Saccharomyces cerevisiae S288C: one gene and its partners. The protein of the gene in region 3 interacts with the protein of the main gene of each other region in a biochemical or structural test. Each region holds a gene or a part of one and is shown on either strand. Other genes may lie near its edges.

Region 1 (2,375 bases), on a different chromosome or scaffold from region 3:
AGTTTAGCATCTTCATAACTGGATAAGTTTGCTCTCATAACATTGCCCTGAGAGTCACCAAAATACAACTTATCAAGGCTCGTTCCTTGGACACACCATATGGAAGAATCCCAGGACCAAGATCCAATTTTTTTGGGAAGCTGAAGGGCACCAGTAGTCTGATCATGCCTACAATTCAAGTCCCATACATTTATTACACCATCTGAGCTGGTACTGATTAGTCGTGTGGAGTCATCAAGAGTTCTTACTACTTTTATATTTGTTCTGTGGGCGTTTTGAATTCTTATCACCTCCTTACGATATTTACACGAATAAAAAATCAAATCACCATTACAGTCTCCGGCAACAAAATCAAAGGGACGAGACGTTTGATTGTCATCAAAACTGTATTTTGGGATGATGGGACTCATGGAGTATATTGAGCCTGTGTCGTTTGATTGTGCATTATCAAATGTGTGTAGTAGCGTAGCCATTTTTTCTGGCCCGCTGCTCAGGCACCAAAGTTTGATTTTTCTATCTAGACCACCTGTCACAAAAAGAAAGTTGTTCTGTTCATCAACAACAATGCCATTATTTATTCCATCGTGTACATTATCAGGACCACCCTCTTGTTCTTCCAATTCATAGTCATTTGACATTTCATAATGTATGGGCACTATGCACTTGATATAATCGTCGTGGTCACCGATTATTTTCTTATCCCAGGTAGTTAACTGCGCATTCACACTAATTAATACTATCGAAAAATCGTGACTTACTGATATGAATGTGTCCCCTGCAGATGGGTCTGAATTTTTCATATTAACATGTATTAGATCGCTTGCCCAATCGCTATGAACTTGCATTCTTATCGCATCGTTTTTTATGGTAGTTGCAGCAGTCTCAGGCTCGTTCGAGAGCTGTGTGTTCTTGTGCAAAATTATGGAACCATCCCTTCCTGAAGTAAGAAAATAGTTTTTACCAGGTATATCCGGGTACAGAATCTTTGTTATCGGTAAGATGTGCGCATCTTGGGAAGTGCAGTAATCTGGGGAAATTAGGCCATAACTCACTGTCAACTGATTCATTATTACCTTTCTATTTTCTCCGGCTTTTTATTGGCTTGCTCTTCTAAAGTCAGAAAAGCGTAGATTTGCTAGAATGTATCGTTTCCTCGTTAGGAATGGCTTGAACTAATTCCTGTATCTATGCAATTGCAATCCAACTACACTTATACGACGTCAAAAGGAAGGGGCGGAGCGTTCTAATTGTAGTTGCAAAAAGCGATGTAGTCGTTCTTCAAGTAGTAATTAATACCAGGATAGGACACGGTGTTATGGTGCTGGTAGTTACTTGTTATAATGTTATTATTGGGCAAAAAGAGAGTTCACTGTTTAACAATAGCAATGGGGTTTTTTTCAGTATACATTTGAACTGCAATGGAATTTGGGCGGAGGGAGCAGTAAAGGGGCGATCAGAGTTGAAAAAAAAATGCTGCCGTAAAAAAAGCATGCACGTATACACTTGAGTAAATATATTTATGTATTCATATCTCAAGATAAGATCATGATACATAAAAGCGATATAACGTCTTGAAGCTCAGGTAAGGGGCTAGTAGATGCAATGAATGACGATGAAGATAGAGCCCAACTGAAGGCTAGGCTGTGGATCCGTGTGGAAGAACGATTACAACAGGTGTTGTCCTCTGAGGACATAAAATACACACCGAGATTCATCAACTCATTGCTGGAGTTAGCATATCTACAATTGGGTGAAATGGGGAGCGATTTGCAGGCATTTGCTCGGCATGCCGGTAGAGGTGTGGTCAATAAGAGCGACCTCATGCTATACCTGAGAAAGCAACCTGACCTACAGGAAAGAGTTACTCAAGAATAAGAATTTTCGTTTTAAAACCTAAGAGTCACTTTAAAATTTGTATACACTTATTTTTTTTATAACTTATTTAATAATAAAAATCATAAATCATAAGAAATTCGCTTATTTAGAAGTGTCAACAACGTATCTACCAACGATTTGACCCTTTTCCATCTTTTCGTAAATTTCTGGCAAGGTAGACAAGCCGACAACCTTGATTGGAGACTTGACCAAACCTCTGGCGAAGAAGTCCAAAGCTTCTCTGGTGTCAGCTCTGTTACCGACGTAAGAACCAACAATAGAGATGGACTTGACGACTTGGTTGAAGACATCAGAACAACACTTGGCACCAGCTGGCATACCGACCAAAACGGTGGTACCGTTAGCTCTAACGTATCTGGTAGAAGCTTCAATAGCGGCTTCGGAAACGGAAACGTTGATGACACCGTGAGCACCACCGTCAGTGGCCTTTAGAACAGCACCGACAATGTCCTTTTCCTTAGTGAAGTCAATGAAGACTT
Region 2 (2,678 bases), on a different chromosome or scaffold from region 3:
GAAAAGTAGCAGATCTGTCTGATTGTTCATTATTCATCATGGACGAAGCCGATAAAATGTTATCTCGTGACTTCAAGACAATAATTGAACAAATCTTATCCTTCTTACCTCCAACTCACCAATCTTTATTATTTAGCGCTACTTTCCCACTAACGGTTAAGGAATTCATGGTTAAACATCTGCATAAGCCTTATGAAATTAATTTGATGGAAGAATTGACTCTAAAGGGTATTACTCAATACTACGCCTTTGTTGAAGAAAGACAAAAGCTACATTGTTTAAATACTTTATTCTCTAAGCTTCAAATTAATCAAGCCATTATTTTTTGTAATTCTACTAACCGTGTCGAATTACTAGCCAAGAAAATCACTGATTTAGGCTATTCCTGTTATTACTCTCATGCAAGAATGAAGCAACAAGAAAGAAATAAAGTTTTCCACGAATTTCGTCAAGGTAAGGTTCGTACATTGGTCTGCTCCGATTTATTGACCCGTGGTATCGATATTCAAGCCGTTAATGTCGTTATCAATTTCGATTTCCCCAAAACGGCAGAAACATATTTACATCGTATTGGTAGATCCGGTAGGTTTGGCCACTTGGGTTTAGCAATCAATTTGATTAACTGGAATGATCGGTTTAACCTTTATAAAATCGAACAAGAACTGGGCACTGAAATTGCGGCTATTCCGGCCACTATCGATAAGTCATTGTATGTGGCTGAAAATGACGAAACGGTACCTGTCCCATTCCCGATAGAGCAACAGAGCTATCATCAACAAGCGATACCTCAGCAACAATTACCATCTCAGCAACAATTTGCTATTCCTCCGCAGCAACATCATCCACAATTCATGGTTCCTCCTTCGCATCAGCAACAACAGGCGTATCCTCCACCGCAAATGCCATCGCAGCAGGGGTATCCTCCACAGCAGGAACATTTCATGGCGATGCCACCTGGTCAGTCACAACCCCAGTATTAAAGAATATCTAAGAAAAAATAACTACTGTGGTGAGATACGCTTTTTTTGTGATCTAATCGTCGATTATTTTTATCTTTTTTCAAATCTCCATTGTGAATTACATTACTTTGTAACCATACTTTTACTATTGATTTTGAACAAGAATCAGTCGTAATTTAATTTTTGTCTCTGCTTTTTTATTTTTTTATCCGTTTTCTCTAGTTTCTGTGCTGATTTTTTTATCCTCATTTGCGCACCGTTTTTATTACTATCACTTTGTTATTTCTTTTTGTTTCTCTAAAATTATCTCAAACCACTTCATTCTTTTACCAGTCATTGTTGTAACCAATACTACCGTCCATATCAAGAGCTCAAGTGCACTTGCCCAGTTTCATCGACACTTTCGCTTTTAGCTAACTTTTATTGTTATAATTTCCACAATAAACTATTCATTTCAACTGACAAGATGAAACTTTCTTTGAATATTCTTTCTTTTTTTGAGTTTTTTTTTTTTTAAAAGCTTTTTTTTTTTTTTTTTTATAGAGAGTAATCTCAAGGAAAGAATATTAATACTGTGTATATATATATATATATATACATATATATATAAAACTGTTTAGATAAATTAACCAACCAAAAAGATACATGTATTTTTATTATTTTTACCTATTATTTTTTACTTTGCTGCATCTTCATGTTTCCGGGAGACCAGAATTATCTTTCGGGCCAAAATATCAAAAATCAATCATACATAAAAGCGTGTTAGAATTTACATTATTGCACTTAGAAAGGACATGAGTACAGAGCACAGTAATTGTGGTGATGTTATCTAAAGAAGCGTTAATAAAAATCCTCAGCCAAAATGAAGGTGGTAATGATATGAAAATTGCCGATGAAGTAGTACCAATGATACAGAAATATTTGGATATATTCATTGATGAGGCGGTGCTGCGGTCCTTGCAATCTCACAAGGACATTAACGGAGAACGTGGCGATAAAAGTCCCTTAGAGTTATCGCATCAAGATTTAGAGCGTATCGTAGGGCTTCTTCTGATGGATATGTAAAAGTATTCAACTTACATTACATCCATGTAAAGACATAAGACATTCCTGGTTGTCTGATAAATTTAAAGCACTATATTTTCTTTCAGTCGTCCTGAACTACGTTAGTTTACTAAAGTAGTTTTTGGAGCGATCGTGCGCTCACATATACAAATATACAGTTCATTTTATACTAAACGCTTGCATCAAAACGCGCTGTGAAATGATTAAATTACTTAGTCCATATATATTATGCGATGCGAGAAAATGCTCATCTGATTAGAAATGCGGACTGGAATGACAGAATCACTTCATAAATCAATTAGAGTATATCCCCGGTTATTTGAGCCATTATTTTGAGACTGCTGTTGAGACTGGTTACCAAAGCCATAGCCTGTTTGTGTTGGTACGACGCTAGTGCTTGGTAAACCTGTATACTGACTGTTCAAAAACGGATTGTGGTTTGGATCATCCGATACTTGCCTATATCCTGTTCCTTGAGAATTGATGAATGTTCCTGTCTTCGTATGTTGGGCAGGAATACGAGCCTCCCCTACATTTCCGAATGTATCAATACCTGTTCCTGTGGCTAGTAGCTCGTTTAGTTTACTATACTTGTCTGTCATTGATTGATTGCCTGTCCTGTTTTGAATCAATGGCTCTTGTTGTTTTTGTTGT
Region 3 (3,405 bases):
CCACTCATTTAACACCTTATTTTTTTTTTCGAAGACAGCATCCAACTTTATACGTTCACTACCTTTTTTTTTACAACAATTTCATTCTTCATCCTATGAAATGACGAAAATAACCAGAGATGTTTCGATAACGACAGAAAATTCAAAATCCACATCTGGATCGGCAACGGCTTCATCCGCATCTTTACCTGAGAACGACCACCCAATATTCCATCAACCGCGAGCAAGAATAAGATCTGGTTCGCTGTTCATCGAAGGATCTGATTCATTTCCATCATCAGAAGTGAAGTCATACAATGTTTATATTGATGATAGCAAGTATAGTGAAATCCTCAAAGGAGATACAAATTCAAGTAGTACTGATGGTAAACAAGTCTTTGAAGATGCTAGAGATGACAATTTCCATCAGGAATCACATAGAGATCTAGAGGATTCAATTTTAGATTTAGTACGACGAGATCCAGAAGTAGCAGCATTCCCTTTACCTCCGCCAAATTCAAATGAGAGGAACAGAAATTCCTCAAACGGGTCTTCCGCTGAAACTAACCTAAATGGACACAGCAGCAGCGGTACCATCTCTACTTCGGTGCTGTTGAATATGGGTTCGGCAGAAAAGCACGCTGGGACGACCAGAGGAGATCATATGGAATCATCTTCAATGAAATCCTTCGAGAAACTGGGAACCAGACCTTCTTCTTTATTCTATCCACCACCCGAAGGAACTGCGCCGTACCAGGGACCAAGGGCTACCGTCTCCGGAAATAAGTCTACAAGGCAAACACAAGGTACATACTCATTTCCTTCTATGCGGTATGGTGTAGATCTTGTTTCTCCTGTGGAAGGGGCTGTTGATGTAGCAAAAAGCAGAGTTCCTAACAGCACGCTAAATGGTACTTTTCCCGATAAAGCGTTTATCCCACATGAATTTCAAATTCCTAAAAAGGCCTGGAACAGAATACCAGCGAATAAGTCCACTAGCCTCAAAACCCCAAGAAACCATTCCCTATTAATTGACATATTAAAGCCTTTTGAAGCAGCTGACCTTGCTAATGACCAGCGAAGTTCTTCCGCTGTTTTAAAAAATACAGTGCATTCTAATGGGCAGTATAATCCAACTAATGAAACCTCTGGAACTCGAATGCAAGATCAAAGGCAGAAGAATACCAACGAAATTGATTTAGAGAAAATTCCTAATCCTCAAGTCCCTCTTGGTATCGCAATGGACACCATGCGTAGTCCAAACCAACTACACGAAAAGGAATACGAAAGTAATATAGAAGCTGGTTTAGCTTCTGGGGTCGGAAAAGGTGACAATAGTATTAAGCAACATCAATATAAAAAAATTCCTCAAGAAATTGATCGAGATCAGCAATTAAGTTTTCAAATGGAAACAATGCCCATTCAAAGAATAGATTCCTCCTCCATACGTTCATTTGATTCCCGAATATATGGCTTCTCCGAGATTTATAGTATTCCAAGGGTTATAACTACACTGTGCATCTGCCTTTTTGTTCCGCCCTTATTCTTTTTCTTTTCAATCAATGGAAATAATGGCGTTTCAAATTATAGATTAATGAGAATGATAATGAATTATGAACATAGAATCGGCCTCCTCAAAGGGTTTGAATGGGACATTGACGTACAATGGTTCAGGACATTGTGCTTTGTATTAGGATGTATAGAGATGTTAGCTATCTTTGCTAGCATAGGAATAGGATTTGGTGTGGGAATAATAAGAGAGTAACTCCATGCTGGACTTACTCGTCGAAGATTTCCTGCTACTCTCTATATAATTAGACACCCATGTTATAGATTTCAGAAAACAATGTAATAATATATGGTAGCCTCCTGAAACTACCAAGGGAAAAATCTCAACACCAAGAGCTCATATTCGTTGGAATAGCGATAATATCTCTTTACCTCAATCTTATATGCATGTTATTTGCTCTTATAATTGGTCTCTATTTAGGGAAAAAAGTCGGTTTGAGAGCTTCTCGCGATGTGAAATCTCAATTTGAACTGCACGCCAAAGCTAGCCCATTTCACGAACACCAGAAAGAAGAAATCCCCAAGGATCGCATGACAGAGTATGCTCTCTCATATCGTTGAGTATGAATGCCAATACACTGATCAGCTTTACAAGAAACGTAAAATCTGGCACGATGGTAGACTGAAATACTTTCAGTTAAACAACAGATTCATGCTTTATACGGAAAAGGATAACGTTTTGTTAGCTAGTGAATTTAAAATAAATTCAAAAGAGCTGAAAGCAATTCTAAATCCAGAAGGTTTTGATATTGAAGAACATAGGATTTTTAGTCAGTTTTTGGTGATTATTTCAAATATTATTGAGGAGTACGATAGAGATATTCAAGTGGCAGCAACGCATGTTAGGGCATATCCTTCAAATTTGTCGGTGCAAAAACAACGCCCTCTTATCTCAGACAATGCACCAAGTTTGAATCATATCTCAACTGCGAGAGAAGTTCATTCGAACATAAAAGTCACAACTCCCAATCGCAAGCAGACAGAGGACAATGCCACCAAGGGAGGATTCAACATCAGCAAACTTACTCTGAAGGTCAATAAGCCTTTCAAGAAGCCCAAGAGGATATTAAGTACTAATGTGGTAAATGAATCAAATAGACCGAGCATAAGGAGCCAAAAGATTCAGGAAGTGACACCACAACTACACGAAACAAACACAAGCACTAAAGTGCAGACAGCCGGAAAAGTTGCGTTGAATAATGATAATATTGCGCAAGGTAATTACGCCACGATTACCGAAGAAGCTAAAGTCAGAGACGGTTCCGACAGAAAGAAAGATATGGCGAACCTATCCAAAAGTGGTAAAAGGAGAGTGGGCGGGATACGAAGAATTGTTCACGAACCCCTCGGAATTTGATTATACGTCAGAATTTTAATGAATATATAAGTCTGTACACTATGCTATGCACATATACTCAAACAAATTCAATACTAAGTACCGAAAAGGAAAGTGGTATATATATATTTATATATATAAGTAGGTACCTCTACTCTTAATGATCACATTTTTTCTTCAACCAGTTTGTACAGTGCTTCAATGTCTGCGGAGAATTTTCTGATACCATCTGATAGTTTTTCTGTAGCCATTTGATCTTCGTTTAAAACATATCTGAAATGAGGCTCGTCGTTGATAAAAGAGACTTTTTCGACGCCTTCTTCCTTAGCACTCTCAGAATTCAATTTGTTTTCAATAGGATCTGTTGATTCATATAACTGTTCTAGAAGGTTCAGTGGGAGAGTCATATTATCAATACCGGCTAACGCCTTCAATTCATCTAAATTCCTGAAAGAAGCCGCCATTACCTCAGTTGCATAACCATGCCTCTTATAGTAACTGTATATCTTCTTAACAGAAAG

What was found.
Region 1: the proteins of MTE1 (region 3) and MHF1 form a complex in vitro, tested with the Saccharomyces cerevisiae proteins (one study listed by BioGRID).
Region 2: the proteins of MTE1 (region 3) and MHF2 form a complex in vitro, tested with the Saccharomyces cerevisiae proteins (one study listed by BioGRID).

Annotation. Positions count from the first base shown.
Region 1 is NC_001147.6:157,571-159,945, forward strand, and holds MHF1 (Mhf1p), read left to right. Parts: upstream 1-1,602; coding exon 1,603-1,875; downstream 1,876-2,375. Other genes in the region: DUF1 (Duf1p), read right to left, coding at 1-1,067; alcohol dehydrogenase ADH1, read right to left, coding at 1,978-2,375. UniProt on the Saccharomyces cerevisiae protein: dsDNA-binding component of a FANCM-MHF complex involved in DNA damage repair and genome maintenance. FANCM-MHF promotes gene conversion at blocked replication forks, probably by reversal of the stalled fork.
Region 2 is NC_001136.10:168,712-171,389, reverse strand, and holds MHF2 (Mhf2p), read left to right. Parts: upstream 1-1,781; coding exon 1,782-2,024; downstream 2,025-2,678. Other genes in the region: DExD/H-box ATP-dependent RNA helicase DHH1, read left to right, coding at 1-980; ENT1 (epsin), read right to left, coding at 2,312-2,678. UniProt on the Saccharomyces cerevisiae protein: DNA-binding component of a FANCM-MHF complex involved in DNA damage repair and genome maintenance. FANCM-MHF promotes gene conversion at blocked replication forks, probably by reversal of the stalled fork.
Region 3 is NC_001139.9:577,387-580,791, forward strand, and holds MTE1 (Mte1p), read left to right. Parts: upstream 1-2,089; coding exon 2,090-2,905; downstream 2,906-3,405. Other genes in the region: BUD9 (Bud9p), read left to right, coding at 101-1,744; sedoheptulose-7-phosphate:D-glyceraldehyde-3-phosphate transaldolase NQM1, read right to left, coding at 3,049-3,405.